Drosophila melanogaster: one gene and its partners. The protein of the gene in region 1 interacts with the protein of each later gene in a pairwise test. Each region holds a gene or a part of one and is shown in the gene's direction. Other genes may lie near its edges.

What was found.
Region 2: the proteins of Ing5 (region 1) and CG32809 interact in a two-hybrid assay, tested with the Drosophila melanogaster proteins (one large-scale study listed by BioGRID).
Region 3: the proteins of Ing5 (region 1) and Lapsyn interact in a two-hybrid assay, tested with the Drosophila melanogaster proteins (one large-scale study listed by BioGRID).
Region 4: the proteins of Ing5 (region 1) and Gbp3 interact in a two-hybrid assay, tested with the Drosophila melanogaster proteins (one large-scale study listed by BioGRID).

Annotation. Positions count from the first base shown.
Region 1 is NT_033779.5:13,383,626-13,390,880, reverse strand, and holds Ing5 (inhibitor of growth family member 5), read left to right. Parts: upstream 1-3,568; 5' UTR 3,569-3,667; coding exon 3,668-3,704; intron 3,705-3,767; coding exon 3,768-4,124; intron 4,125-4,190; coding exon 4,191-4,393; intron 4,394-4,623; coding exon 4,624-4,782; intron 4,783-4,844; coding exon 4,845-4,946; 3' UTR 4,947-5,033; downstream 5,034-7,255. Other genes in the region: CG7099 (uncharacterized protein), read right to left, coding at 1-609, 666-1,685, 1,760-2,495, 2,550-3,102, 3,161-3,245; loqs (loquacious), read right to left, coding at 5,649-5,897, 6,087-6,224, 6,859-7,144, 7,217-7,255. UniProt on the Drosophila melanogaster protein: Component of the Enok complex which has a histone H3 acetyltransferase activity.
Region 2 is NC_004354.4:1,687,886-1,696,089, reverse strand, and holds the start of CG32809 (uncharacterized protein), read left to right. Parts: upstream 1-3,321; 5' UTR 3,322-3,651; exon of another isoform or gene 3,652-3,793; intron 3,794-4,732; 5' UTR 4,733-4,777; coding exon 4,778-4,883; intron 4,884-4,956; coding exon of another isoform or gene 4,957-4,959; coding exon 4,960-5,010; intron 5,011-5,077; coding exon 5,078-5,217; intron 5,218-5,281; coding exon 5,282-5,890; intron 5,891-5,902; exon of another isoform or gene 5,903-6,211; coding exon of another isoform or gene 6,212-6,910; intron 6,911-6,966; coding exon of another isoform or gene 6,967-7,188; intron 7,189-7,320; coding exon of another isoform or gene 7,321-7,441; intron 7,442-7,515; coding exon of another isoform or gene 7,516-7,609; intron 7,610-7,984; exon of another isoform or gene 7,985-8,160; intron 8,161-8,204. Other genes in the region: a6, read left to right, coding at 618-1,847; b6, read right to left, coding at 6,212-6,910, 6,967-7,188, 7,321-7,441, 7,516-7,609.
Region 3 is NT_033778.4:21,191,909-21,200,394, forward strand, and holds Lapsyn (Leucine-rich repeat activity-regulated protein at synapses), read left to right. Parts: upstream 1-1,662; 5' UTR 1,663-1,958; intron 1,959-5,699; 5' UTR 5,700-5,702; coding exon 5,703-5,885; intron 5,886-6,112; coding exon 6,113-6,256; intron 6,257-6,321; coding exon 6,322-6,526; intron 6,527-6,583; coding exon 6,584-6,769; intron 6,770-6,853; coding exon 6,854-7,009; intron 7,010-7,066; coding exon 7,067-7,224; 3' UTR 7,225-7,523; downstream 7,524-8,486. Other genes in the region: tud (tudor), read left to right, coding at 1-218.
Region 4 is NT_033777.3:22,974,220-22,980,640, forward strand, and holds Gbp3 (Growth-blocking peptide 3), read left to right. Parts: upstream 1-3,050; 5' UTR 3,051-3,088; coding exon 3,089-3,568; 3' UTR 3,569-3,945; downstream 3,946-6,421.

The DNA of each region.
Region 1 (7,255 bases):
TGTTCGCATATTCCGCAGGGCATCCCGATCAATATCGTCTCGAGGGCCGGATGACTTCTTTAAAGTTTTGCCGGTAGATAGCTCGCGTGCTTTACGCACCGCTAGTCGGGGTCCAATCTTCAGGCGCGTAATTACTGCCCGCTTCCGGACTGTCCTCTTGGCCTTTTCCCTTGCTGCATTCGACTTACCACCATTCTGACGCTGCACCCACGACCAGTGGCGGAACTGGTGGGCAAACAAATGGGAGCTCAGTCCAGCGGCACCCAGGTGATCACCAGGAACTGTCCCATTGTCAAGCTCAACGGCCTGATCGAACTCCACCGTTGGCTGGAAGACTAGGACCTTCAAACGCGCCGGCAGAATTCTCTGCGTGCTCAACGATTTGCGGTATCCCAGTTTCGTGTAAATGCAGATGTGCTGCAACTTGGCCCAATAGTTACCCAGTTGCTCCACGCTGGAGAACTCAAAGTTAAGCTTCGTATACGAGCGATCGGCGCTCACTTGCATGTAGTTGTGCTCAGTGCTGGAAGTTGTGTCCAGCAAGCTGGTTCGCTGATTCAGGAATACCCAGCGGTGCAGGGAGTCACGACCTAACTTTTGCTCGCTCACCTAAATACGAATAATTATAATATGTGGACTTAAAGCAAAGGAATAGTGTTGCCCACCTGGATCAGACCCATATTGTTGAGCAGTCGCAGAGTGCCCACATAAATCTGCTGCAGTTTCAGGCGTGGCACAATGGTCTCCAGCTTCAGCTGGGAAAGCAGATAGTGCTGACGGATGGGATGCTGAAGCTGTAGACGCAAATCGTCGTTGGCTTCGCGCTCAATGCGGCAAATGCGCATAAAGAGCGAGAGCGGCATTCGGTCCATGGCATCCATGAAGTAAAGCCAGCCAGATGGTTTGTCCACGTAGCGCGGTAGCGGCGGTATAAAGGTGCGCCAGCCTATATCCTCAGTGTAGGGCTGAACCTTTGTTTCATCAGCCTGCCACTCGTCAAAGAACTGGCGCGGCTGCAGTGCCGGTTCCGACTTCTGCCACTGCTGCACAAGCTCGGCGGACATGGGCAGGGGCTTCTGTTCCGGCGACAGCTCGTGGTGCAAATAGTAGAGAAACTCGTGCAGTGTCCTAGCCAAAAGAAGTTTGGGTGCCTGCGTCTTGAACACCGCATTTGAACGCTCTGGCGCCAGTTTTCGACGAGCGAGTACCTCCTTGCGCTCTTTGGGTGCCATCTGTGATGGCCGCTTCATGCGCTCCTCGGTGATCAAGTGGAAGTTACTCTTTAGCTTGACAATCTCGCGTTTCATGACCGCGTGGTCAAGCCCGATCTTTGGATGCGTGGCGAAACGGTAGACACGAACTCGCTGATTGTAGTGCAGTGTGATCTCGAACACGTTTATAATATTTTCCTCAACCATTGGACGCAGCAGGCGCATCAACGAGCGGCGACATAGGCTGTCCTTAAAGCCGGCCTGCCGCTCCGTTTCCTGGACGGATCTTAAGACGCGGGGCAGGGACACCAAACAATTCTGGTCGATCTGGCGCACAATCATTTTCTGGCGGTTAATTTGGCGCTGCGTTTGATTGGCGGCTCTGGTCTTCTTAATTTTGAACGCTATGGGTCGGGCATTCGTCACGATCTCGGGCAAGTCCTTCAGCAGGACATCAGTGCTTTCGGTAATATTCTAGATAATAATATAGAAATACTAGGATAAACGCTTTTTCCTTATATAATATATATATATATATATATACTTACCGGCTCATCCTTACACCTAATCTCCAGTGCCTTTTTCTTGATCTCGTCTTCTTTTGAAAGGTCCCCCAAATGTCCTACGGCCACAAAGCGGAACTGCCGGCTCTTTCCCACCTGCTCCGAGTACTCTTTGACCAGGCCGTGCTTTTTCACTCGCTTCACAAAGTGTCGCATGTAGGTGGCGTTGATACCCGTGTAGTGGCACAACTCGTTGCTATTAAGACCACGTTTACCGAATCTCGCCACTGCGCGGAAAACTTCCTCCTCCGGAGGCATATCAAGAAAGCAGTGGCCCAGATCCAAGAACTCGGATACCTGATTATCCTCGCTGTCGTCGTTCTTGTACAGGTCCTTCAGTTGCATATCCGGATTGCGCAGCTGTATCACTGTCACCTTGCGTGTGGTTGCTTTGGACTGCTTTCCCGACTTTGTCAGTGGCGCAACGGGCCTTTCAACTTGCTTAGTCTCGAAGAACTTACGAAAGGAGTGGGTCACCAGCAATTTCTTTGTCTTAAAATTGGTAGGACGGCCTAGAAGATCGGTTATTTCGGTGACGGGCACTTGGCGGCTTGGCGTCCGCATTATTCCCAAGTATAGTTTTTCAAGATTTTCCTGAGAGTGGTTCTTGTAGATGCGGTAAAAGCGCGGTAGCATCAGCAGCGAAGAGACCAAGATGCGTCCCTTGTTAATTTCGTTATAGTTTTGGGCAATAATCAACTGCAGATTTATCAACTTGTTTCTGTAAGGAATGTAATTTTAAATATTAAATATAAGTATAGTTCATAAAACTCACTTGATATAGAAGAGAATCCCTGTGTCCTTGCTGTAGTTTATAAGCGACCAAGGGCCTGCGGTGGTGTGTCCGCTGTACCGAGACCGTCCGATGGCCTCCAGAAAGATGTAGTTGGGCAGTGGCAGATTCTTGGGCATCAGGAGGCTTTCGGGCGTGAGTGCTGTCTCCCGCAGCTCTTGGGAGGCCACCACTACGAGCCTGCCCGCCCACTGTTCCGTTGCTTGAGCGGCATTAAGAGAATGCAGATCGCTGGAAGGGATCAGCTTACGTGTCTTGAAGTCGTTGCAATTACCCTTAATGTCGCCCTCTTGCACATAGGCGGCCGGGAACAACATGTACGGACACTGCTCGGGCACCACGGGCAATCCCAGCTGCTCGTCGATGTCGTTGAGGCGATCATAGTAGGGCATTAGTGGTCTTTCCGCCGGCAGTTCAAAGAACTCGATCTTGTGAGGCGGCGTGCGTAGCAGCAAGGTCCACGTCTGTTCCCGGATGCGGTCAGGCAGCGGAGAGGGGAAAAACTCCAGTCGCCTGGCCAGAAGATCCCAGAGATCTAAAAGCATAAACAAATAACTTGGAGTTGATGTGTGGAGGGCATGGAAATCTCTTACAGGGCAATGTCACTCCCTCCAGACCCTCCAGAGCTACCTCATCGTAGATGGCATTAATCCAGGATCCTCCGGAACTGGCGCTCATTTTTCAAAACTTAATTTACCTTTAAAATGAGCTATCAAAACAAATTAGTGTTTTTGATTGTGATTATACTAGATGTAGAGTTGCCAACCATCATAAAGTTGTAACCACACTTAAAAACAGCTGTTGCGCAGTCGTAACTAAAAGTTTTTCAAAGATTTAGCAAATAACTACCACAAAATCCGATCCGAAATCTACTTAATGTAAATATTTTATTTTTTCTTTTAATTTTTAAATTTAAGCACTGCCCAATTGTTTTGGGTTATGCTTTTAACCACTGTAAAGTAATCGATAACTTTAAAAAGCGAGCTGTCATCCCTAAATATCCCATGTACAACAATACAGCTGTTGCTATCGTAAACAGACGCTGGAATTTAGCTTACACACTCCATATTCTTTGTTAAATCCGATATTTGACACCGAAAATGTCATCGGCTATATACCTAGAGAACTATTTAGACGGTAAGAAGATTCTTAAGCATGGAAAACACTCGAAAACATATATTATTCACGATTTACAAACAGGATTGGAAAGTCTGCCAACGGAGCTGGAGAGAAATTTTAAGCTGATGCGAAAATTAGACGATCGAGCACAAACAGCGATGAAGAGCATCGATAGCCATGCCAAGGACTTTATGCGCAAGCTGGGCGAGAACGGGGCCATGAGCGAGGATGAGAGGAGGGAGCGCCAGGAGGATATCAAGGCACTGTTCGGAAAGGCCAAGGAGTACAGCGACGACAAGGTGCAGCTGGCCATTCAGACCTACGAACTAGTGGACAAGCAGATACGGCGACTGGACAACGATTTAGCACGCTTCGAGGGTGAGATTCAGGAGAAGGCCTCATCCACGCGTGCCAAATCCGAGGAAGTGGTGGCCAAGAGTAAGACTGTTCCAAAGTATCTATTCTTCCACAAGCTGACCCCTTCCTTTGATTCCATTTGTACAGAAGGTCGCAAAAAAACCAAGGACAGCAAGACGACGGGCAAAAAGAAAAAGTCCGCATCCTCGGATGAGGAAACTGGGCGCGGCAACAACCAATCTAACGCCAATTCCAGTGTCAATTCGAGCAGCAATGCCGGGCAAGGTAGCAAAAAGAAAAAGTCCAAGGTAAATCAAGAAAAAGAAACTCGCAAGGGGGGCGCTCAAAAGGTAAACCATCCACATTCTCATCTATACATTGTTAGAACTTTAGTATGTTTACTGTTTCCCAGTTTTCATTGACCCTAAATAGAATACTCTTTACTTTTATAGATTATCCCCATAGAAATCCTGCATTATCCACTGTTTTCCATATCGTTTGCATTTTCACTTATGTACATGCACGCCTCCACTATCGTCGAAACCCCATTCTTACTCATTTTGCTAACATACCCATTTAGAAAACCGTCGAGGTTGATGACTCTGAGAAGGAATCGTGCCACACGGCCGCCACTCATCCCAGCGACGTTATGGACATGCCCGTCGATCCCAATGAGCCCACATATTGCCTATGCCACCAGGTGTCCTATGGAGAGATGATTGGCTGCGACAATCCCGACGTGAGTATTCGATTTTGATGTACTCTGTGGTCAGTTCTAGATCTTTCACTCTACCATTTTAGTGTCCCATCGAGTGGTTTCACTTCGCTTGTGTTGGCCTCACCACAAAGCCAAAGGGCAAGTGGTTCTGTCCCAAGTGTACGCAGGACAGAAAGAAGAAATAGATGCAATCCTTTATGATTACTTAGAATACTACTTTAGATTAAGCACAAAATTACCTATTTAAATAAAGCCACGGCTACTATAACTTCAGTATTATATTTGTCAATTTATTTCCTAACTAATTTGTAGTTAAATAATTCCATATCATAAAAGATGTTTTCACAGAATATTTCTAAAGTTGGATTGATTAATTTCAATTCATCAATGCCCTTTAATTCGGAGTTTACAAAGTTTTTCAGCCCAAGGAAAAGAAAACTGCAAAAGTAGCGATTACCAAATACCGATTATATTCATAAGCCTTTTTCCTTCGCAAACTAGCACGTAGTCTACCTTAAACCTAGTTTTATCTGCCGTTTTACGTTTTTCAGAATTTGAAAGCGACTAGAAGATTCCAATATCGATTACACGCTTGTCTGTATTTGCAAGCGTACATACATTCATCGGTAAGTGTAGTACATATATGAACATTTACATATGCAGTTAACAAATACAACTGCCTAATCAAAGGAATCGGTGGAAAAGAAACAAAATATATATATATATATATGTAACATCGCCACTGCATTGAGCCAAAAAGTGGAAAGAAAAGCAATTAGACTGGTGCATTAGTTATCCCGTATCCACTCGGTAATCGCTCTCATCAAATACTCGTGATCGTGGTCGTGGTGTGCGTTCAGATTTTGCTATTCAGTTGGCTGCACCCCCTACTTCTTGGTCATGATCTTCAAGTACTCGAGGGCATTCTGGGCGGCATGCCGCTGGGCATCGGCAGCTGTTGGTCCGCTGCCGTGGCAAACGCCAACGGGCAGCGTGGACAGTTGAACCAGGCACTGGAACTGGCCAGAGAAGGTCTTCTCCTCTATGTCCACATAGGTCACCTCGAACTGGTTCTCCGTGGCGATTTCGCCCAGCAGCTTGATGTAATCAATCTTGTTGTTCTTCAAGCAAGTCTTCTGAAAAAAATACAAATGGAGTCGAATTAGCAGAGTCAAATTAAACTTTGAACTTTCAAGCAAGAACACTATTATTATAAGGATTGTGAGGGGTTAAGGCAAATATGTACTTTCGAAAGCAGGTTTTGAATGTTGGAAATATGTTTGTGATCGTTTTTGAATAAAAAGCGTTATTGGATTGAAATTTACCTGTAACTTAAGCAGTTTTTTGCCCGTTGCATTTTTTAGGGTCTTATGGAACTGGGATACTTTGTTACTGTGCTGCGTGGTCAGTGTCGGCACAGAGATATCTTTCAATTCACCATAATAATTTTCACTACTGCGGGGCTGTAAATAAGAGCGCAAAGTTTTTGGTTTCTTTTCTCCATTGCATTTCGCACACATTTGAAATCACACACGCCAATGGTGAGTTGAAACATATCACTTTTGTGTGGAAAAGGTGCTTTACAGATTCGTTCTTTAAAACAATCACCATGCCAAGGAACAATATGAAAAATGAAAAATGAAATAAGCCAATATAAACCATAAATAAAACCAGAAATATAAATAAGGTGTAAGCATTATGTTAATTATATGTATAATTATGTCAAAAACATTAGTTATAAAAACAAGGACAATAAAAAATATCAGATAGCACACTATAAAAGGGATGCTATAGTACTAAAACTCTAGCTAGATACATAATTTAAAAGATTATAGGGATATTTACAACTGAGGATTACTCTAAACGTTCTACATTACATTTGAGAAGGGATAGAGGACAAACGTATTAAATAATATATAACATTTATGACATATATTTGATAAAATCAATTTTTAAAATTTTATAAACTAAAGCATGGGACTGCATTCAAAATAATTGCACTAAAAATATTAGAAAATTGCTTGTGGGTTAGATCTTGATGAACTCAAAATCTTTAGAGACTTGCTCGTAACGATCGATGTCTTGAATGATACTCACTTCGCCCTCCAACTCGCCGCAGATGCTGTCGCTGATTTTGCCCGAATCGATGGGAGTCTCCTGCAGACGCATCCACATGCGGTGGGCGGCCAAGCGCTTGGCTATCTTCTTGCTTTTGCCCTTGCCCATCTCGCGGTAGTTGAGTATCGAGCAGGCGATCGTAAAGAGCCGCTCGTGGGGAAGACCCACTTCCGTTTCCGTTTCGTACGACGGCGGTGGCCATCGCCGTTGCATGCACATTTCCTGCAACCAGCCAATCGGATTACCAACGGTCTTGTCGCTGGCACTGCAAGGACATAATACAATAAATTGGATATCTTAGAATCATATCTTAGACATCAATAGAATAAAAACTCACTCTCCTCCGCCTGTGGCATTGGCATTGCCGTCTCCTCCG
Region 2 (8,204 bases), on another chromosome or scaffold:
GTGTCCAAGTCGCTGGATTTGCTGGTGATCCAAAGCACTTGTATCCTTCTGTCCTTTGCTTCGAAGCTTCATTATTTTCTCTAGCTGATTTTAAATAGCGCGCCCAAGTGGCGAATGCATTATCGATAACTACCGACAGATACTGTTTGGCCAGTCGACGTGCACGGTTGCACGCAGCGTGGACTATCGAGAGAAGCGTTATCGATGTGTGGTCGCTTATCGATGCAGTTTTATAAACAGAACTCTAAAGTACAACAAAAGCACAAATTAAGCAGCTGCCGCGCGAAAAAACAACCATCTCGGCCCCGCTCGCATCTCGGCATGTCCAGCGGCGGGAGGCGCAGCGCCTAGTCCCGCGCCTCCGCTCCTCTCAAGGAAATCCCCCTGCGCCGCCACGCAATTATGCAAGTTGCAGCAGTGGATCTAACTGTACTCGCCGCCAGTGGAACAGCAAGAGGAGGAGGAGGAGGAGCCCCACGGGCCCGAGCCCATGACCCTTGACAACCCGTGGCAGGCACCGCCACCGCTAGAAGACGAGTCCACACACTCGGTAAATAGGTGCCCACCAGTGGCCGACCAGGCGTCACAGACTAACTCTTCTCCTGCCGCCTATAGACATGAACCAGAAACATTCCGAACCATTCTACATATCGCCCCGGCTGTTCGACAACCGTCGTCTCAAGCGGCGCCGCTGTCGGTGGATGGAACGCCTGCTTGAGCACCAGCGGATCTGCATGGCCCGGATGCGCGACCAAGTGGCTCTCGCCTCCAAGACTGACCGGCAGCTGTCCCATCTGCAGCGGCGCCATGTCGCCTCCACTTTGCAGCCGGACGTGACCATCGACCTGCTGTCGGATGACGATGAGACCCCATCGGCCGGACAGCCCGCTGCAGCTGGCCACAATCGCCTCCTGATTCCTGCCCCAGGGCACCGAGCACATAGAACGGGCAGAAGGCAGGCGCCGCGCAGAGCTGCCACCCACTCATACCCAGTGACCGACAGCATCCTGATAACCAGCGATGACGAGCACAACGAGCAGGAACCCAGCAGCACGGCAAGAGTGCGCTCCCAGCTCTCCATGCGCTCACCGCCACCGCTCGCACCGCTCACACAGTCGGAGACCATCGAAGAGGTAACTGTTTCGTTGGTGCCGCGCACCTCCACCACTGCCAACTGCCTGACGCGGGTGTCAGGTCACCCCAAGCCGTGTCGAGCGTCGACGGCGGCCAGCAATGGATTCGCCACCGCCGAAGGCGGAGAGGGCGGCAATGAAACGGGCTGTTTTCTGGAGGTGGACGTGGGCGGAGGCATCACAGCCACGCTGCCGGACGAGACGACCGTTCACACGGTCATCGCAAACCGTATTTACGAACTCTCGCTGAGCAAACTACGCGAAGGCCTGGCTTTTAGTGGAGTGCCGGAATACACGAACGACCTGATGCCGGAGCAGCTGCAGAAACTGTCACCGGCATTGCGCGCCAAAGTGGCGCCCTTGGTGGCTCCCTCGCCGCCCACGCCCATCTCCCTAAAACTGTCCAGCGACCTCAGCATATCACTGATCTCAGACGAAGACGATTGCGAAAGCACCGGTCCACATGTCAACGGAGGAGTCGGCACCGAACCGGTGCACCCCGTCGTGGTGGCTGCGGCGGAGGCACACGCTGCCGCCAAGCTGCTCAAGCAGCAGCAGCCACAGCTCTCGGTGGTGCAGCATCTGCAGTACGTCGGCGGCGGACTCGCAGCTCCAGTGGCTCTTGCCCTTCCGGTGATGGCAGCAAATCCGACCTCGTCTGCTTCCGTTGTTGCCTTGCCGCTGCAGCTGCCGCGGCGCCGAAAACTGGGATGAGCTGGATGACTGATGACCGATGACCCGCCAGAACCGAGTCCCCATCGCCATAATATCATTCCCCGAGCCGGAAGCACGGCATAGACTTTAACTAGCAGTGGCTAGAAGTGCAAATATGAACGTAGGTTTAGCGACAACACATCACTATTTCCCAGTTATCCTTGAATCCAGGACTAGTCCTTGTCCGGTCGATTTTTGTATCCTTCCCCTTTCCCAAGCACCTTCTCTCCATCTCACTCAGTTGCCCATTAATCTCCCTGTCTCTGTCATTCTCATATTTTAAGCTTTAAATGAAACGAGACGACAACGTACAAATGAAAGTAGAAAAGCATCAACCCATATACATTGTTGAGCAAAAAACACAAATTTCAAAAGATTATAAGAGGGAGTAGAAAATTTGAAGCGAGTGAGAAAGGTGAGCCCAATATTTATAAAGTACAAGTAGCTAGCTTAAGATATACTATGTATATGTACATTTGATTTAGTGTATCATATATTACATGGCTGAATCACGTCGTGTAATCCGTCGCAGTCCGCCGTCTGTATTACATTAGCTGATCACCAAACCGGAATAAATTTTCATTGTATATATATATATATATACATGTACACCAGCTGTGAGAAAAGGAAACTATGCGTATGCCATCAAGGTTCGTTTCGACCAAGCGCTCCTTGAACCACGACTGATCTCTGGCCAGGATTTCGTGGGTGAACTCGTATCGCGCTAGGGCACTCTTAATATAGAGCGAGAGTTGCGGCAGGAGCAGATCCTCAGAGTGGCTGACAAAGTCATGGGATCCTTGGTCACGCGCTTCAGTCGCTGAGCATGCTAATGCCCGCAGTGGTGTTGCCGCAAAACTGTCGAATACAATCGTAAATGAAAATGAAATCGAGTTGCATCTTCTGTGGCCAAACTCACTCGAGTGTTGTCCACGTGCGGCTTGATCGCGCCAGAGTCAGCCAAGTCCAGGATGTGCACGAAGGGCATGACCTGCTCACCGAAGGAAACTCACGAGACGTGATCCAGCGTGGCCTGGTTTTGGGGAGTCCACTTTCGGCGTTCAACTTCGCGGTATCTGCCTGCGAAGTTTAAGAAGTTTAGCCAGAAATCCGATACTATATAGTCTCTATATATACCCACCCACGTCATCACAGTGGCTCAACTCGTACGGCAAGCGGCTGATGTGAGGCTCGATTTCCCGCATCAGTAGTTGCTCCTCCTTCGCAGTGATGAAGTCCCTGATGACCCGCATGTCCGATTCAAACTGGTGCTGCTCACAGCGAGGCCACTGGCCGGGAAACTCCACCAGGGCGTGGCTGCGGGCCCAGACATCCGCTGGAATCCTGGCTACTCCCGGATAAACAAGCCGGCGCAGGACAAGCATGTGTTTCGTCACCTGTTTTTAAAGGCCTTCCGCCCAGTAATCGATTGGAGCCATTCGATAGCCACATGCGCTCAACCGCCAAGAAAATTACTCGATTGCCCCGGCACCAGGTAAACACACACAACAGAGCAGCGTCGGAATGCAGGGATGCCAGGACCTCTGACGGCTGGATGCCAGGGAACTTCGCTGGTCCGGGAACACTCGATTGGTAACGCATGCGCCGTGCAAGCACGCAGTCCTCGTTCGGCTAGGGCGGAAACGCTTTCCGGTGTAGATATACCAGAAATATTTCTGCTCTTCTGGCGTTATGCTGCGTCGGTGGACGAGTGCCGTGTCCTGACTCCAGAAAGCTGTGTAGTGACGAGTGCAAAGCGAAGCGAATTGAATCGAATCTTTATCCTAAGGACACGGCTAAATCGGTGAGCTCCTCGAGCTATGAGCACCTAGACCCGTTAATTGTGAAACCTTCCTGAATCGGCAAGGCAAGTGCGGTTTGAGAAAATGCCAGAAACATCGCCGGTGAACCGCCCACACACCCCCAAAGGTGCATAGGTATACAAGGTACAGCTAGGACGAGATCCCCCATGAAAACCCAAAGGAATCCAGCCAACTGACCGCTGACGTGTGTGGAAAAGTCAACAGACACGAGCTCCCCTCCACCGTGTTTAATGTGCACTCGTGCCCTGGAAACTGGACGCAACTGACACAATTAATGGCGGCTGGGAAAAAACGGGCCGGGGCACCGCACCTAAAACTAATCAAAAATTCCTTTAGTGGCCCGCAATAATGCCGATGGGCAGTGAATGTGGGTGGCTGTGTACATATTCCCAGGCACTGGCACTGGCAAAGGCAAAGGCATACTAAAACCCGTGAAGTGCTGCACTGAAAAGTATACCATGTTTCGTGTGTACCCATCTCTGCGTCCGTTTCCTTTTGGTGCCCCTTCCTCGGATTTCTTGCTCGAGATAAACATGTACATGCAGCCAAAATAACTTGACATGCCTTGTTTAAAGCAACTTCCAACTCCAAAAACGTTTACATATGCAAAACAAATTCGAAAGTGATTCGTGTTCTCTCAGCAAATGGCATCTTAATGGCAACTGCGATGAACAATTGTATTCGGCCAACACTATTGTCTGTTCTGCCAGCCGCATTTCTGGGGTCCCGATCCAGATCCGCATGCAGTTCCAGATCCAGCTCCAGTCACGCCTTCCGCTCTGTCCTGCTTTCTTGCTCCATTCCGTGTTGCAGAGCAGAGTTTGCGCACTCCGTTGCATACTTTTTGCATTGAGCACTGGCACTGCCACTGCGAGGCTCCACTCCATTCCACCACACCCTGTTAAAGAATGTGCGAGGATACATGGTTTATCTACACCAAAGTTGCATGTTGTGTGTGTGCGGTTTAGCGTGTTGTTGCCGGTACCAAACGTAAACAAAGACCAAAAAAATAAGGACATTTTCACGTTACCCATACGCCCCGTTGTCTCTCATTTTCTGCAGCTGCAACATAGCCACTGAGCTCCGCACATCTCAAACGGCTGCAGGATGTTGATCCGTTGGAAGAGTAAGGACAAGAGCGCCTCCTCCAACCAGAGCGTCGGCGGCAGCAGCAGCTCCTCGTCGAAGAAGAAGCGCAAGGGTAGAGAGGGCGGTAAGTAATCGGAATCCATAAATCGGAAGGAAGCGAAATGAAATGAGCCTAACTCCAGCTCCCTCTCTTTCAGAAGAAGACTGGCAGAATGAGGCAAAGTCGGGACGGCTTCCGTCGAATGAACAGGGTATGTTAAGGACCAAAGACGTCCACGGATCTGTAGCCCCATCCTCAGTGTCTATGTGTTTCCCCAGGTGGCGACGAAAGACGACGAGCCATGCGACGCGACGATCCACGACGACATACGCTCGGCGGCGATATGCTGGTCTACGGCTCGCAGCATCCACACGCCCATCAGATGGCGCCCCAGCAACAGCGGGCCATGGATCTGGAGGTGAGCTCCATCTCCCATCTCAACTCGTTTCTACCATCAGTTTCTGATTCTTGTCCCTTCTTAGATGAGTACGCGCGCGCAGAAGAACAAAAAGAACCAGCCGATGCGCGGTTATGCGCCTGTTAACCAGGGACCGCTGTTCGACGACGATCCCGGCATCATGTCGGAGGTGGAAACGGCCAGCACCGGATTCCGGAGGGGCGGCAAGCAGCGCTCCTCGCTCCCCGTGGTACGCACGCCCTCGAAAACTCTGGAACGACCGCTGGGCCTGGTCTTTCTGCAGTACCGCTCGGAGACGAAGCGCGCCCTGCTGCCCAACGAGATCACTTCGATTGATACGGTGCGCGCCCTGTTCGTACGCTCGTTTCCGCGCCAGTTGACCATGTCATATCTGGAGGGGCCCAATGTGAAGATTTACATTCACGATGCCAGCAAGGATATGTTCTACGAGCTGGAGGACGTGCGCTCGCATCTGCGCGAGATCAGGGATCGCTCCGTGCTGCGTCTCTTTGAGTCCACTGAGGTGGCAGCCCCGCCCCAGATTCTGCCCGGCGGCCCTGGAATACCCCAACCCCTGCCGCAGGCGCAGGCCAATTGGGATCAGGATCAGAGCTACTTCAGCGAGCCGGAGTTCGACTCGGACTACAAGCACCAGCATATCCACAAATCAAAGGTAAGTGCTGCTAGATGGTATCAGTTAAATAGTCCTTTATTCAATATCACCGCGTAATTGCTAGGGTGAGGATGTAGGGCTTAGGGAAGCAGGATGGATTGGTGTCCATGAGCGAGTCAAGGATTGTTTGGTGGCCAAATGGGTGGCAACAGTAAAGCGTTGACTCCCACATGGACAATTGTGGCACAAGATGCCCAACCAATCGAATACTTATTCGTACATATATAGAAAAAAAAAAGATATGGAAATAATGGGGTGGGGCTGGGAAAGCTTAAGCTGGGGTCCTAGGACACTAGAATGTTATCCGAACTTTGGGAACAACTAGAAGTTACCACATGGACCCACACTGAGGCCCTTGAGGGCGTTGTTCATGTGCTCGCGCACATCCTTCCACGAAAACACGATGGCACCCTGGAAAGGCTCCGTGTGGCAGCTGCTACAGATGGCCATCACGGCCCTTACCTCCTCCTCGGCGGGCTCTCGGTCGTGCGTGCTGATCTCCTCCTCCAGGCTCATCTTGAGCGTAAGATCCTGCTTAAATTGCTGTCCGCCAAAGTCGGCGAGACCGTTGTAAATCAAGCTCCCATCCGTTCCGGAACCGACACCGTCGTCCACCACAGATCCATCGTCCAGCAGCACCAGGCCGCGCTTCTGAACCTTCTTAGTGGCGTCGGTGTTCCTCTTGAACTGGATGTGGGTCTCCGTTTCGTCGATGAACTGCACGTTGGCTGAGTTACTTAGCATTTGGAAGCGTTTGCCACCGCCACTAGGCTGCAATCCGCTCGGCGGCGAGAGGCCAAGGAGTTGCTGGGCCACCAGTCGCGATCCCGCGTTTATCTGTCCGTTCACAAAATTTGTGTTGATGGTGATGGCCTGCTGGGCGGAATCGGTCGGAGCTCCGGCCGCGCCAGGAGCGGGAGCACCACTTGCAGTCGGCGGCGGATTGGCCAAGTTGATGCGCACCCGGGTCGGGATCTGGCCACTGGCGAGCAGCGTGTGCATGGGTTGAGGACGATTAATCTGAATGGAGGTCTGGCGTGTTATATTGTCTCCGTGGGCACTGGTTACGAACTTACCGAGGGTGGGGCACGAGTGGTGCTGGAGACCTCCTGGCCCTCGTGATCAAAGTGGTGGACATGGTGGTGCTTGTGGTCGCGATGCGCCTTGCCTGCACTGAGCGCCACCCGATAGACCTGGACGAGCGTCATCTCGAAGTGGAGGCCGTGGCTCACCTCGCCGGTGACCGAACTGCCGCCGGAGCGCAGCTTGCCATTCGCTGGGATTTTATGTCCCACCAACTGAAGCAATTAAGAATTAAGTGGAGACGGAGATTTGAGATTATAGCAGCTGACATTCGCACGCCGAAAGTGAAAACGCGAACAAGGCATTTTGCAATATGCGTAATTGGAGTCAAATGGAGTCAAACTCACCGAGTTGTGGAAACCACGCCCAATGCGTTCTGCCTTCAGCCAGGCCTGCCACTCGCCCGTCTTGCCATTCCACGAGCTGCACATGTGATGCCACTGGCGCATTTTCAACGGGTAGTTCAATCTTGAGCAGAAAAACGATAAAGATTCGACGGATTGACGCCGGATTGATCGATGGATGGTTGCGTCTAGACTTACCTGTACATTTGCTGACCTTTTATGGCCATCGAAAGGAAACTGGAATTCTGCGCATTTGCGACCCAGATTTGCACCTCGCGTGGTTCCTTTCCAGCTGCAAGTGTGAATGTGGATGTGGATGCATAAGTGGATCAGATTGGCTTTGAGACTCGCTTTCATGCCAATAATGGTAACGGCGGCTCAGATTGCGAAACTGAGTGGAGCAGCGTTCCCAACTACTACCAACAACTCGATGGCTCAATGGCCAGAACGTTTCGCTAGGCAACTAGTCATCTCACGAGCCACGAGGAATCCCCCCATCGGTGATCAGATGCGATCAGGAAACCCGCCCAAGCGGTGAGCCAGGCGGTTGGTTATACAACCGGCATGCGGCAAATCCTGTTACGCTGGCAACATGTGATATGCATACATTTAAATATGAATCACCAAATCACCACCGGCTGTGAGTAAAGCACTTCCTATCCGGAAGCTTGGCTGCTGATCACTACTACTTGAGTTGACGCTCTGGAATTATGTCAAATGCTAAGGCCCGCCGCTTGAACTTCAGCTTCGGTTTAAGCGTGTTAGCTTCAGCATTGGCTTAAGCTGCTACCCACAGCTGAGAGTGCGACACCAACAATGCCGACGACATCCAACTGGAAACAGGTAAATTATCGCTTATGTAATGCGACCGCAGCGACAACAACGCA
Region 3 (8,486 bases), on another chromosome or scaffold:
AGGAGTTGGCCAAGCCGGCGCGATACAGCAGGCATTGCGAGCTGGATGCGTCGACCATATCCAAGTGCGACGCGGCCCTGCTCCAGTCGTTCATCGACACTCGCTTCTCTGAAACATTCCAGGTAGAGATTCTGGCCACCAAGGGAACTGGCACCCATGTCGTACGACTCTTCTACCAGAGCAAGAACATCAGCGAGAAGCTTCAGGAATGTCAGTGATCACCCCGTTGTACAGTCAGATCGGACTCATATGTGCTCCATGCAGGAGATTGTGATTGGGTTGGCTAAAAACATGCGATGTATTATCCATTAAGTTGAACGAGTTAAACTTATTCAAAGGGAAGAGGAGGACACCACACGATTAGCCAAGATGCTTCATTGACTTTTCATGGAAAACCAAAATGAAAGCAATTTTTAATATTAATTAAAGAATCAATACGGAATGCAAAACATTATCACCAAAAACACAACAAAACGAAAAAAAATCGAACAAAAAAAAAAACGAAAAATCATTGAAAAAAAATGTATAAAAACAAACGAAAAATATTGAAAAAAACTTTAAAAAAAAATGTAATCTAGATAAAATTGGCACTAACCTATATATGTTAGTAGCTATTAAGGCGGATGACGATTTATTTAATTGCTCAACCTTGTTTAAAACAATTTTACATCATCAACGAAAGTTGGCGAATTGAAGAGAAGTGGAGTGAAGTTTAAACCTCCTCCAGATGAATTATTTATTTTTTCCCTTTATAACTGTATTTGTACTTTCTTTTCTCGATTAACCAACTGAAGAATCACATATGTTTTTCGTACTTTTTTTACTTTTCATTACCTAAACAAACAAGAAACATTGCAAATCGAAGACTTAAGGAAACTAAAAGGAAACTAATGGAATATGGGTTTATGTATTAAAACCTTCAATCACAATGTCATATTTTTCTACTATTTCTTTTTCATGTTGTGAACAATATATTAAAACAAACCAATAAATACGATGAAAAGTAATGCCATATAGAGCGTATATTATTACCTGGTAGTTATACCTGGAGTTCCAGACCCGGTGCCAGGTAGCAATTAGCGGTCGTCAGTCGGGGATTTATTGGATTACGATGTGGAAAAGTGGCGAACGGACGGACAGGGCTCATGTCCGTGCTTGAGGAGATCTACGGGTGCCTGGGAATTTTACCTGTTGATAAGAAGAGAATTAAGTCGTCTGCCCACATTTATGATACGGATCAAGCTCTCATTGCTGACTATCCGCGATATCATTCACATTCATTTAGTTAGTTGCGATATCATTCATACGCGTTTACAACTGTATTGTCAGCTGGCGTGGATGCTTCATTAGATGCCTCTGTATCAATTTCGATTATCAATCGCTTGCTAATTGAATGAGTGGCCGGCCAAATCAGAAATATCCACATTTGAACTGTCAAAATCCCGAAAACAATTCAATTTCCAGTCGCAGAGTGTATCAGTTTCCATTGCTGTTATCAAAGAGAGCGCTTCTCTCTCCACTCCGAATTTTCCATCCGAATTTTCACAGTGCAGTGCAGTGTCATCTGGGAGCGTGCGTCCGCTTTATCAGCATTTTTCGGTGTGCTTTGCTCGGGCGATCGGATTGTCGGAGTCCGAAAGGCCAAAAACTGAAACGATCGTTTCAATTCTGTGTCTGCGGTTGAATTGAACGGTTCCGGCCAACGTGCGCGCTCCGTAACGATTGCTATAACATTCTACGGCGTAATCATAACTAAAAAATATTGATAATATAACATATAAAGCTGTTTGAATATTACATATATATAAAATATATAAAGATCACAGAAAATCGAAGAATCCTAGAAGAGCATAGAGTGATGTGTGTGTAGTGAACTAACAAGAATCCTGCCATTTTACTAGGATTATCATCGCCGACTTTAAATGGGATTATACCTGAACACTTGAATTTCCCCAGCGGTAAGCGGACGGAAAAATCTGTTTGGATTTTTTTTGATTTTTTTTTGTTGATTATTTTGCTTTCTTGATGGTAGTATTATGGGGTCTGGCGGGTTATCGTGAATGGTGCACATAGTACTACGACTAGATTGCACAACAGCTGTGTAAGCTATATTGAATTTTCTAATCAGGAAACTTAGCATTGAAATGTGCGCCAGTCTCTGGATTCTATATGCTCTATATGCAACCAAAAGAGTCTCCACGACAGCATAATGCGATAGAATCCAAGTTAAATTGATTTCAATTAGCGGAGGCAGCACAACGGCAATTGTGAGCCTTTCTCTGTGTGTGTAGCACACATATCTTGCAGATAAAATAAAAGTTTCACTATATACTATATACTACTTGCTGTGTGTATCTACTAAAAGTAACGCTTCAGCAGGGCTGTTTATTCAGTAATTAACTGTGGTAAAAACACGTAGGGAACACCTGCTTATCAAGGCGCAGACTAATCTTTACAGCCAGTGTGTTCTGGAAAAGTAATCAAAGCCTCGAGAATAGGGAAACGTTCTCAACAAAGAAAAGTTATACAAAATGTCATATTCTTAAATAATAAACACATGATCGAAATATGATATTTTCGACTGGCATTCCGATAAAGTAGAGTAGTCACTGTATTTGGATACTTTTGTTTTTTTTTTTTTTTGTTTTTTTCAGTCCCTGGGCAAATGTTTTCTTGATTGTGTTTAATTGAAATAAATGAACAACGCTCTTTTATGCTACACCAATCTTTACGGGGCCGTTTCAATTAATTTTTTTTTTTATTGTTCTTGGCATCGCCGTTATAATTTTGAAAGAAGCTATCAGCAGAATGGGGACTTACACGATAAGAGCACTTGACGTACTCTGATAAGCTTCGGTTTTTTTTGAGGAAAATATGATTGTTACCCAATGGCATTTCTGGGAGGTGGGTGGTAATGAGAAGGTAGCCCAGATGGGAAGGTTGTCTCAAAGCAATGTTTCATCAGTGCATCAGAGAGAGAGAGAGAGAGAAGAGTCCAAACAAATAAATCTTTATCGTAGCAACGAGAAATGTGAATAAATCTCGGGGCCCTCCGGTGCACACACACACACACGCACACCTGTTGGGGGTCGGCCAGGGAGGGGGTGGAGCTGAAAGATATATATGCCGATCGGACGGGGTATAGCCGATAATATATGCCTACTTCTGCGACGCCCACAATGTGTGACAGGAACTATCACAAGAGCACATAAATCCATTCACAAATGTTTAGAATGTTATTAAAATATTTGATACTAATTTCGTGTTTTTTTTTTATCTTCCGATTTTTTTTTTTTGTGGTGGGGGATTTTCGATTTCATGTTGCGTTTTGTTAGTCCAATAATCGCTTGGCTCGGCGAACAGATAAATAATCCCTCCTCGTCATATTTATCATATCGGGCAGGCTGCAATCCGTTGGTCGACAGTCGGATACGGGCAGCTGGGTGAATGAATCGCTAGCGCCTTGGACCATTCCGATCCGTAACCCATTTCTGCCACCCCATTCGCCTTTCCATGGCATTGTTTGTCTGGTCTGCCGCCTGATTGGGTATAATATATAAATAAATATTGAAGCTGAACAAATGCGGCGAAAGTGAAAAACATAAATTGTGACCCCAACCAATAATTCCAACTCGCAAAGAACTAATATCTAAGGCTAATTCGGATTCACCATTTGATTTGCGGGACGGGATCACTTTTATGGCCATAGCCGCCAAGTGGATCTACCATTTGGTGCCTGGCATTAGCCCTTTTTATGGCCAATTTCCTTGAATTCCCAGCCCCCTAACAAAAGTTGTATAATAAAGTCAGTCAGCTGGGGGATGCGATGCAATCTCCTCAAATCCAAAAGTTTGCATTTGGTCGCCACTGTTTATGCTGCCATCTCATTCTGGCCACTGTTTTGGGCTTTTCTGGTTAATTTTAATTTAAATATATGAAATATATTTATAGCCATTGTTGCGGTTGCTGTCAGTCCAAGAGAATGTGTGTGGAAATCGCTTCAATATTTCTTTTGATATTTTCTGCTTCGTTTTTTCGCTGATTCGACAGGCGGCTCTAATGACAGAGGTAGCCGCACCACACTGGGTGGCAAAAGTGTGCGCCACGCTTCCGCTAGTGGAGCAAACATATTGGCAGAAACTGTTTTTCATTTTCTATGTTTTCATTTCGTGAGCACATGCCTCTCAAGTGGAGCGCAACATTTTTTGGTCAAAGGCCAAGACACTTCAGCTAGCTGGAAAATAGGCAAAAATTAATAAATGGTCGAATCATGATGTCTAAATGGGGACCATGAATCACTTAAATTTTTCCAAGCCAACGCAGCTAGTATGAGCAACGACGAATGGTTACTAACTTTATAATTGATTAGCACTCTTTTGTTGCCTTTGCAAGAGGCCAAGATCTTATCGGCCAACTGGGCGCTCCATATGTCTTAATTCCGCCACTTGGACGGGCTCAAAGTGATTTGCCAATATGGATGGATATCTACGACGTCGTTCATCATTCATTGGTAAGCAAGCGTTTGAGCTTCGTGTAAATAGAACTATCCACTTTTGCTGACCCGCAATTGATTTCACGGGAATTTCAGCTTCGTTGGGCGAAATGATGAAAACTTCAGCTGCGACAGCAATTAGCCCGAATGTCACAAATGGAAAATTACAATACTCAAGACATTACTCATGTTGTTCGGTTTTCATTTTCACATTTTTCACAATGCAAAATCACGCAAAGCCAGCTGATACAAAGTTGGGAAACGTGCAATTTTCTAATTGCCCTTCAATGGGGCGTAACAGAGACATTAACAATGGATTCTGGCCATTTCCAATTCCCAAATGTGCATACCGAGTGGGCTTACATGTTTAGATCATGTCTAGATATATGTACTTATCCTGAGGTATAAATCACGTCGAAGCATTCCTATTTCTGGCCCATAATCGATTATTGGCTTTCATTTTCACCAAAAACACTTATATTGCTTTTGGCAAATTTCGGGAAATGCTTTTGTGAATCTGACATATTGAAAAGAGCCATAAAGGCATTTTAATGGAATATTTGTTTGATTTATGGCTACCCCTTTTGCTGTTTGATGTAGAATCAAAAGATTTACACGCCGCACGATAAGATATTGGAGCAATGGCAAGTGCTTCCCAAAATGGCAGTGAGTCAGTTATTTTTCGGGCTAGTTGCTTTTATTACTATTATAGGGCCGCCAAATGTTTCCGCCGCCGCAATGCGGAATCATCTTTTGTTGATGTGCATGAATGCAGCGGGAATGACACTGATTGTGTGTTACGTATACGTAATATGAATATCGCGTATACGCAGGCCAACAGCAGCTGACCTAGGCTTCGAATTTGAGCTCAGTTTGTATCTGTATCTGTATCTGAGCTGCCATGGTTTAATTCCATCTGTCAGGTGCGGTAGATCCGCTTGATTGAATGCATTCAGCTTTGGATGCGAGTCCGCATTCACCCCCAAAAACCAATCAAAACCCAGACCCAGACCCCCAGCGATCGGCAATGATCTTGTAAATTGTTAATTCGAAAATAAACGCTTTGACGAGCCCATGGGCGATTGTTTGCTTAAATTTATTGTTCTAGTTTTAATCAAGAATATAAACAAGTTAGCGCCGAAATGAAGTCCCATCGTTTGGATTTACATTTTCATCTATATGTATATATGTTAATTTATTTTGGCAGAGCATGGAACTGCATTGGCAGCTGCTGACGTTCATCGTGTGCCTCCAGTTGTTGCATTCCGCCGGATTCATCATTCAGTCGGAAGTGCGCAAGTGCACGTACGGCCATATCGATAAGCTGCTCCGGATTCGTTGCTACGACTTGGACCTCAAGGAGGTGCCACAGAACCTCAAGAGTTCGGTGGAGGTGAGTAACGATCGAGGGGTCAGGCGATCAGACTTGGTCATTGCTGGGCCCCTCGTCACAGTTAGCCTCAATTGAGCTTAATTAAAGAATAAAGAAGTTGCCCACAAACATAAATTTATCCATTACACCGACATGCATAGTCGATGTGTATGGGAACCCTACCCATGCCATTCAAAACTCTCTACTGAAATTAAATGATCTGACAATTCGCTGAATGTTTTTTGCAGGTTCTGGATCTATCGCACAATCGCATCAGGAAGCTGAAAACTAGCTCGTTTCAGCGATACACGGACATTAAGTTTCTGATGCTCTATGATAACATGATCTTATCGGTGGAGGTGGGAACCTTCGAGCCACTCACCTCGCTCCAGGTAACAACGACATCCAATTAATCAACGAGTGTGTCTTTAATTAATTTCTTAATCGAAATTCCCAGGAAATTGATCTTTCGAATAATGGACTGACAACGATACCGCTGGAGTTGTTCCAGCTGCCGCGACTGAGAAACCTATACATCGATAGCAATGAGCTAACATCCCTCAATCTTCAGGCACTGGAGAAGCCCATTCGTGCTCCACTGGAGTACCTGAACGTGGCAGGTTGCGAGCTACAGGAGTTACCCGATCTGGGCATACTTCCAAGTAAGCAGAGATATGTAGATATATGGAATCTATCTAATATTGAACGATTCTCTTCAGAACTCTGGCAACTGAATGCCTCGATGAATCCGCTGCAGAACTTCAGGATCGACAGCCTGGCGAATATGTGCCACCTGCAGGTCATCGATCTGACCAAGTCGCAGTTGAGCCAGTGTGGCTGCCAGCAGGTCACCAACCATCTTATGATGCTCGGCGCCAGTCCGAAGTTCGTGCCAGTTTGCTTGGGTAAGTAGTGATGGCGATGATGGCGCTGCAGTCGGAGCAGCTGCTTATTTTTGGCACATGACCAACTTGCAATTCCATTTTCAGAGGCGCTCGACATCCGCGAGTGTCCACTGCCCTACAATCGAACGATCCATTCGCCAACATTCGCCAGTTGCCAGACGACACTGCAGTTTGCCGAAACGCGCAGCTTCTGGCTCTTTGGAGCTGGCTGCTTTGGCGGAGTTTGTTTTGTGCTTTTAAGTGAGTTACGAATTAGTTCTATTCGACATAAGTAAATACATTTCCCACCTCCCACAGTTGTCATCTTCTGCGTGATACACTGTAGGAGAAAACGAGCCCAGCGACGAAAGAGGAATGCCCAGAAGCGAAAGCCGTTTGTGATCTCGCCCAGAAACGCCATCAACAACCGTCAGCCGGAGGACGAGCCTCTGCACTGTGATATTGCCCGAAAATAGCACTTTAGTTAGTTAATTAGTTGCTTAGTTAGTTAGTTAGTCTTAGGTGCCAGTTATTTATTACCTACCATTTATGCGTTAGTTTAGCCTTAGGACAACCGTCTACCTAGCAAACTGCCTTGAATCCTTTACCAAAAATCACACAAAATCACCAAAAACCAAAAACAGCGCCATCAAAGAATATTGCCTTGCTCAAAAGCCATCGCTTATTTATTTGGTTTAATACGTAACATAGATTTAAGCCAGCAATGGAGTGGATTTTTTATAACGAATGACAATAAAACGTTGATTTAAAGAAGAAGTCTGTATTGAGTTTGTATTTAGACTTGGATATTTAGTTTCTTAACAACATTATGTATTTTTATGAATAAGGAAAAATATTAGAGATATACATTATTTGAATATATCGTTATTTATTTATTTTAGTTTAACTTAAAAATTGTCCTAAATCAATTTAAAGTGCATCAGCCTGAAAGTAGGCAAGCTATTTTGCAACCGACTTGGTGGTGAAGCCTTTTCATCACGGCCAACAAGTATGCAATGGTTTTACAGGCTTAGAGCATTCAGTTCCATGTTCAATCGACAATTCATTTTAATTGAATTACCAAATTGCTAATGAAAAAATCGTATTAATTCGATTTTAATTTATATATTAATTTCGATTTTATTAGGCTTTTTCTTTACAATTTGTTCGGCCTGCGTTCTCTTAAAATGCTTTTGTATAGTCTCGTCGCTCTTCGTCTCTTTCACAACTACTACTCAATGCTCGCTTTTGATGACTTTCTTTCGCACCTTTTTTATCGCGCTCTCTCTGCGCCTCTCTCTTTTACGCTTATAGCCGGCAAGTAAAGAAGAAGCATAAATAGAAATGAAATATAAGTAAGCGGAATGCAAAATACTTTTTCTTTGGCGCCTTCCTCCTCACACACACACATTCGCATTCGTATGTGAAACCAGAAAGAACAATATAGTATTCATACTGCACCTGTATATCGACTATAAAGTACGCTGTACGTTGTATGTTGTATTTTACCATATGTATAGCTTATGTGTTTCCTTTTTTAATGCGGTAGCCTAGGATGTTGAAAATTATTTTAATTACATTTTTAAATCCTTTTAAAAAGACCCTTGGCTCGGGACTTTAAATTCACTATTTATTTATTTTTATTTTTTCTCACTTATACATTTACCCAACTTGCCTTCGTGACTATATACCCTGTGTAGTTCACATATAGAGGGTATAATAAATCTCCCACCGGCTT
Region 4 (6,421 bases), on another chromosome or scaffold:
GAAGTTGAATTTACATTAACTTATTCTATGTTCAAAATGAACTTTCAAATAATATTTGCAAACTTTTAATCATAGGATACCGGCAAGTCTAAACCTTCATTTTGTGCCACCAATATACTGTGTGTTTATCGTTTTGTGTACCTCTAAGCATCTTTTTTTATGTTTTATGCCGCCCGCTGGCTATTTGTGCGCCAAATGCATTTGTATCGATATGCCGCTCATATAAAATAAATTTAATAGATACTTGTGAAATCGCCAGTGCAAATAGTGCTGCGATGCAGCAGTTCTGTGTTGGGGAAGTTGCAGCACAGTGGAATGCCGCCGCTAAAACAAACATCCGAGTCATCAGCCGGAAATGGGATACACGCTCGGTCCTTGTCTGGCCTTCCTTCCGTACTTGCCAGCTCCTCCTCTGACCTCTCAACCCAGAAACTTGAATCCTGATCCCCAATACCAACAGATTCGCTATGGCAATAAATCCCCCAAGGAAGTGGGTGGCACAATAGCAGAAAAACTCATGAAGTGGCAAAGAGTTGCGATTGTGTAAACAAATATATTAGGAAGAAGTCAGAGGTGTAGATGGAAAGGGGCTCTTAAATTGAAATCATTCGATGAAAATAAAATATAGTTATAGCTTTAAGTATTTCCCAGAAGTAGCTTATGTTTTACTTGTTTTAAAGCAAAACTTTAATTGGGTTTCCTTTTGGCCATGCTGCATGCCACGTAGAGAAACGAATGTTTATAGCACTAATTTTATTTGTTAAACTAACAAAAGCAGCAGCAACGACGACGAGCTGGGCAAATAAATGTGTCTCAGAAACGATTGAGCGCACAGAGACAGTCATATAAACAGAGGGACATAAAACTCATACGACATGTGGGCCGGCAGGCACTTGGCAATGCGTGAGCGTGAGAACATGGCACTTCATTCACGCCCCGGAAATGCCCCACCCACTAGCTACGTACCATCCAGCTCTTTCTCCAGTGTAAAACTCCGTACGGACAGCAGTTGAACCGAAAGCCAAAGACAAAGAGGAGCCGAAACAAAAAGCCCGGTCTACAGTTGCGCCTGCCGAACAATTTATACGACTATTTGAAGTTGGAGGACTGAGTAAATGCTGCCTAAGTGTGCGTAAATCTATAAGGACACCCAGTCGTCCCAGTCGTCAGGACCTACGGAGGAGCTGGAGAACCCATCGAAGGATTTCGGCTGTCTCCATTGTCACCCGGCCACCACTCGTTCTTTCTCCCAACCTCCAAAGTGTTAACACATCGTTGCCATCCCCCCAACATCCCGAACTCGTCACGATTTCGTCCCGTTCTCCAGTTTGTTTTTATGTTGTAAACCATTTTCATTTGTTTTTCGTCGCTCTCCACTCCTTTTGCGTCTTGGGCGATTGAGATATTCCCTTCTGTTTGACTTCAAAATTGATAGTTTTAGCCAGATTATGATCTGTTTATTGTGCAAAGTGCTGTGAACCGGGGATTGGGCGGCAATTAAGTCGCCTTGTGCGGCGAATGTGAATGTAAAATGTGTTTCCGTTGATAGCTGAGATAGAGGCGCCGTTTAGGCGTTGTCCTTCGTGTTTGATCGACTGATAGATAGAGTGGCAATGTCCTTAACTTAATTTACTCCTGAGAAGAAAGACAGGAAGATAGGGAGCCACCTCAAGCAGCGTGAACAACAAGAACTGAACTTATTTCCGGCGGAAGTATCAGTATTCGGCAATTTCCGGCCTGCCCTTGGCTTTCATTCTTTGCTCCCTCGCTACGAAACTTTCGCCGGCAATAAATGTTAATACATATTAAGCGATATCCCATCCAGTCAATGAGTGGACCAAGTTCGAACTTCGGCACGTCCATGCCGAATCAATTTATCGAGTCAAAGTGTAATTAATGCCACTGCGGCAGGACAATCGGCCAGAACTAGACTCAACTACTCGGCGCATCCGTCGAATTGCCGGAATGGCTCAATTGTCAGACTCCATAGCACTTCCATTAGCCGCTGCCTTCATTAGGGCCTGGCCATAATCATCATCATCAATAATCTGGCTCTGAAAACACATCACAAATTAATTTTGACAGCTCTTGCCAGCTATTAATATCAATTATTCAAATAGTTCGGCAACCAGCTGACGAACTTCAAGGCAATGCCCCCCACATTACCAATAAGCTGATTCATTACTGTCCGTTGGTTATGTCATCAGAGTGCTCCTTTTGTTACTTTTTCGCCTATCGAAGATGCAGACGCTTTGTTTTCAATAATGAGCAACATCTGATGCGTTTAAAATGTTGGCCATGTTCTTTGGTAGCCTAGGTTTGCTCTCAAAGACTTGTGGCTCTAGGGCCCAGACGATAGCAATGTTCACAAAAGTATAACATTGCACCAGAAGGCTCTTTGTATATACCATAATATGCCATAAAGGATGCAGAGAAACTAAATGATTTAGAACAGAAAGCAAGACCATACTTGCTGTGGGTTGTGTTTCCTACATTTGTCAAAGAGCATTTCAAACAAACTCTTATCAATTGAATCCACTTAAAGAACAATTTACAAATCACTCGCTTATTGACATTATCATTGAAAATTCGTTTCGATTTTCAATCGTGCTTCCTGCCCCGTTCATTTTCTATGATACCAAAATAGCAGATTGGTTGACCCTCCGCTTTTCACATGGCAGCTCAAAATTATGCGTGCACATGTATGAAATACCGAATTGACTAATATTTATTTATACAATTTTGCGGTTCACAGAATGCAGATAATTCAATTCCAGTGTCAAATTTGCCAAAATGTGCGTGTGGCTGGCTCAGCCCACCGCTCACCTCAAATGCAATTCAATTTGGCGATAAACCAATTTAAAGCCGACCAAAAATGAACGAAAAACTGTATGGAATTAAATGTACACATACTCACACTCGCATATTCCACTGTGTGTGTGTGTGTGTGTGGATGCGGGTAGTCTGTTTATCTCTCAGTCGCGGCTTCGGGGTCAGAGGTTATCGAGTGGCGACCGTCGACCGAAGCTTTGGAAACCGTGCAAACTGTTGGTAGTCGAACGTCTATCGCAGTGCCAACAAGTCGGCGATGAAGCGGTTTCTTGTGGCCTTATTGGCCGCTCTGCTGGTAGCCGCCGTCCAGGGCGGAATTCTGGGCAGAATTTTCCACAGGGAGTCCACCTCCACAACAACCAGCACAACTACGACGACCACAGAGGAGCCCCGCCGACCCTTCTACATCAACAACAATATTCCCGAAATCCCGAAGGACTGTGTGGCGCAGTTCAAGTGCAAAAAGAAGCTGGCGAATGTTCAGGCTCCAAAACCGTGTGTGAAATACTGCCTGCACAGGATCACCTGTCCCAATAACCAGACCAGTCCCGTTCAGCCCAACCAGTGTGTCGATCTCGACGAGCAACAGGTGCTGGCCGTCCACGAGGCAAACACGGAGCCTCCGGTCGCCGGCCAAACCACCACCGAGAAGACCATGATGGTGGCCATGATCGACTTCCCCTGCCAGCCCGGCTATCTGCCCGACCATCGTGGTCGCTGTCGGGAAATCTGGTGATTCGATGGCTTCGTGACACGTGTTTACTGCATAATTATACCTGTGGAATTTTCGTTTTTATATACATGCCTGCTCCCAATAATCACAATAAAACCCAAACGAACGGCTTTTGCCCAAAGATCGAACACAGTGAACAATTTGATAAGTGTTTCGGGTGTAAATACCACCAATCTGCCAGTCACAACAAATGGCTGCGGTTTGTGACTAGTGATTGTGTTATCAGTGAGTTGAAAACATTTCAAATCAAACTGGTATTTTCATATATACTAGTGAAAAAAGTGTGGACTCAAAACAATGCACTCGCTGTTGGCAAGAATAAAAAGAGTTTTGGCCATTTTTAAAATAATAAATAAATAGATAAATAATTAACAACTTACATGCCCTAACTCTATTTCGTTTGCTGTTTAGACCAGCTGCTTATAACCTCTAGAAATAAATTAAAATTTCTTTAATTGTTTTTTGAACATATTTTTGTAAGTGCATTCTCCGCCGTGAGTGGTCACTGTTCGGGAATAATACTTTTGCTGTCCCGACACGCCAAGTGTCAAACACACCTCCTTTGGTTGGTTGGGAATCGGTGGACTCAGACATGAGTGGCGGAATTAGGGACTGAATGAAGTGGGGGTGGGGGGGCTTACCTCCAAATGGGCGGGGCACTGGGCGGAGTCGTGGCAGTCAACAATTTTGTCTAATTACAACGGGAGAAACGAGCAGCCAGCGACAAGCCATAAAAAATATGCCATTTGCACGAAAATAACTGTGATGTGCTGTGACCTGTAGCCCCCGCCATTGATAGCCTCCAGCAAACAGGATAAGGAGGACGAGGTCCTGGATTGAAGGAGGAGTTGCCGAAAAAGCCAAAGCCACAGATATAGCTAACAAATGGCTTAATTCCAGCCAGCAGCTTGAATGCTCGGAATGCCGAGCGATAAAAAGTACATGTATTAAAATTAACAAAACAACAAGACGCAGACAAGAGACGCCTTCTTTTTTGGCCCATTTGGATGGGTGAAGGTGGTGGATTTGTGTAGGTTTTGAAGCCTACTTCCATCACGTGATTGACGCACATTTCGAGCCCAGAGAATACAACTGCTAATTCGACGCACCCAACTATGGGGATCAAGGAGGAGGATTTGGAATGGGGCTGGTGGAAATTTTATGTGTCTTCGTCATGTTAATTGTTTTCCTTTGTTCGTGGGCATTGTGGACTGCTTTTTGCCGCCACAACCATTGCTTTAGCTTTAGCTTTTGCTTTGTTGTAAGCCATAATTTGCGCGCTTATAACTCAAAAGTTTCGCCGTCAAGCCAAACGCAACTAACTTTATTAACTGAAGGAGCGCGCGCCTTAGCCAGGTTTTGACTTCATTTGTGCCCCATTCTTTTTGTTTTCTTGATTTCCGTTTCCGAGCGTCGGTTTAGCAGGAGGACGCAACTTTCTTTGGCTTGTTTTTATGGTAATCGGCGCATAACAAAAACCACACCACCACCACAACAACGCACCACACCGCCCCACCCACCTGTGTGTCTTGGTGGTACGGTTGGCGGTGGCATGGTATTTGGAAATTAAACTGCGCATAGTCCTTAAAATTTTATAACTTAATTTCTCTTGGTCTGGCATTTTTGTGAACTTTTTGATTTGATTTCGTTTGGCACTCGCACAACTCCTTTTTCGCCATATCGGTTGGCTGTCTGTGGGTGGTTGGTTTGGATTGGATTGGCTTGGTTTGGATTTGGGTGGCTTTTCAGGTGGCTTTCTGGGTGGGTAAGGCAGTGACGTGCCTGGCGTTCTTTTCCAGCCCGGAATTCGGCATGCGAATTAGAATAATAAACTGTTGGAATTTATTTGGCGCAGGAAAATGCTTTGGCTGCGCTGATAAGGTTGATCTATGGCCGGTGGCATTTCAATGGCCGCGATAAGAGCAATGAGTTTTGAAGGATTATGCCGGTGGCAGCATAATTGATGTGATGCGAACATAACTCAATTGTGGCGTAATTGCGGCCCTCGAATCTGGCTTTTCCGCCAGTTACGCACTCCATTATTTGTATAGCCCTTAGCCGGCCAACCGATGCTCTATCCCACTGGCATTTTACCCTAGTTATACAAACGTAAAAATGCCAGCTTTTGCAGCTGCTTTCATTATGCTAATTGCACGGACATCAACTGCGGAAACAATGCAACTAATAACAGAAAGCAGGGGCAATCGGTGCAGCAAAAGAGCGGAAAAGCGAACAGGTATATACATAGGTACACAGGTTGGCAGGTACGGAGGTGAACTAGGGAAGAAACCAAAGAATTTTCATTAAAATTTTCATTTAGTTGCGCAATTATTTTTGTGCAGCCATTTTAATAACACTAATTTACCTTCAATTCCCAACTCTTTTTCGAGTCACACAAAGGCCACCGATGATGAAAGAGATGGTGAATCGCATGGTGAATGCGAATGCGAAAGAGACGGGGACATACGGTTATAAATATGCGCAGCTGCAGGATAATAAAAATGATAAGTTTTTCTCTCTCTCTCTTTCACTTTCTGTCGTTTTTGCCGTCTTTTAATTTCATTCCTTTCAGCATTCACTCAACCGGCCACAGCTGAAGCTCAGCTATTACACTGGGAAAAATGTAGATACTTCTTTAAATTTATATAATTTATACCATTGAGACTCAACTACAATTGTGTCATGGAATATGCTATCCGAGAATCATATCCTTTGAGAGAATATTTGTTTGATCGGTTTTAGAAGCATAGTTGGTTCGATAAATTCCAAAAAATATTCTACATTTCCCTCACTGCTTCGATTCGAAATTGGTCACAATTTGGGGAAAAAAATTTTCTCTTTTTTCCCGGTACCATC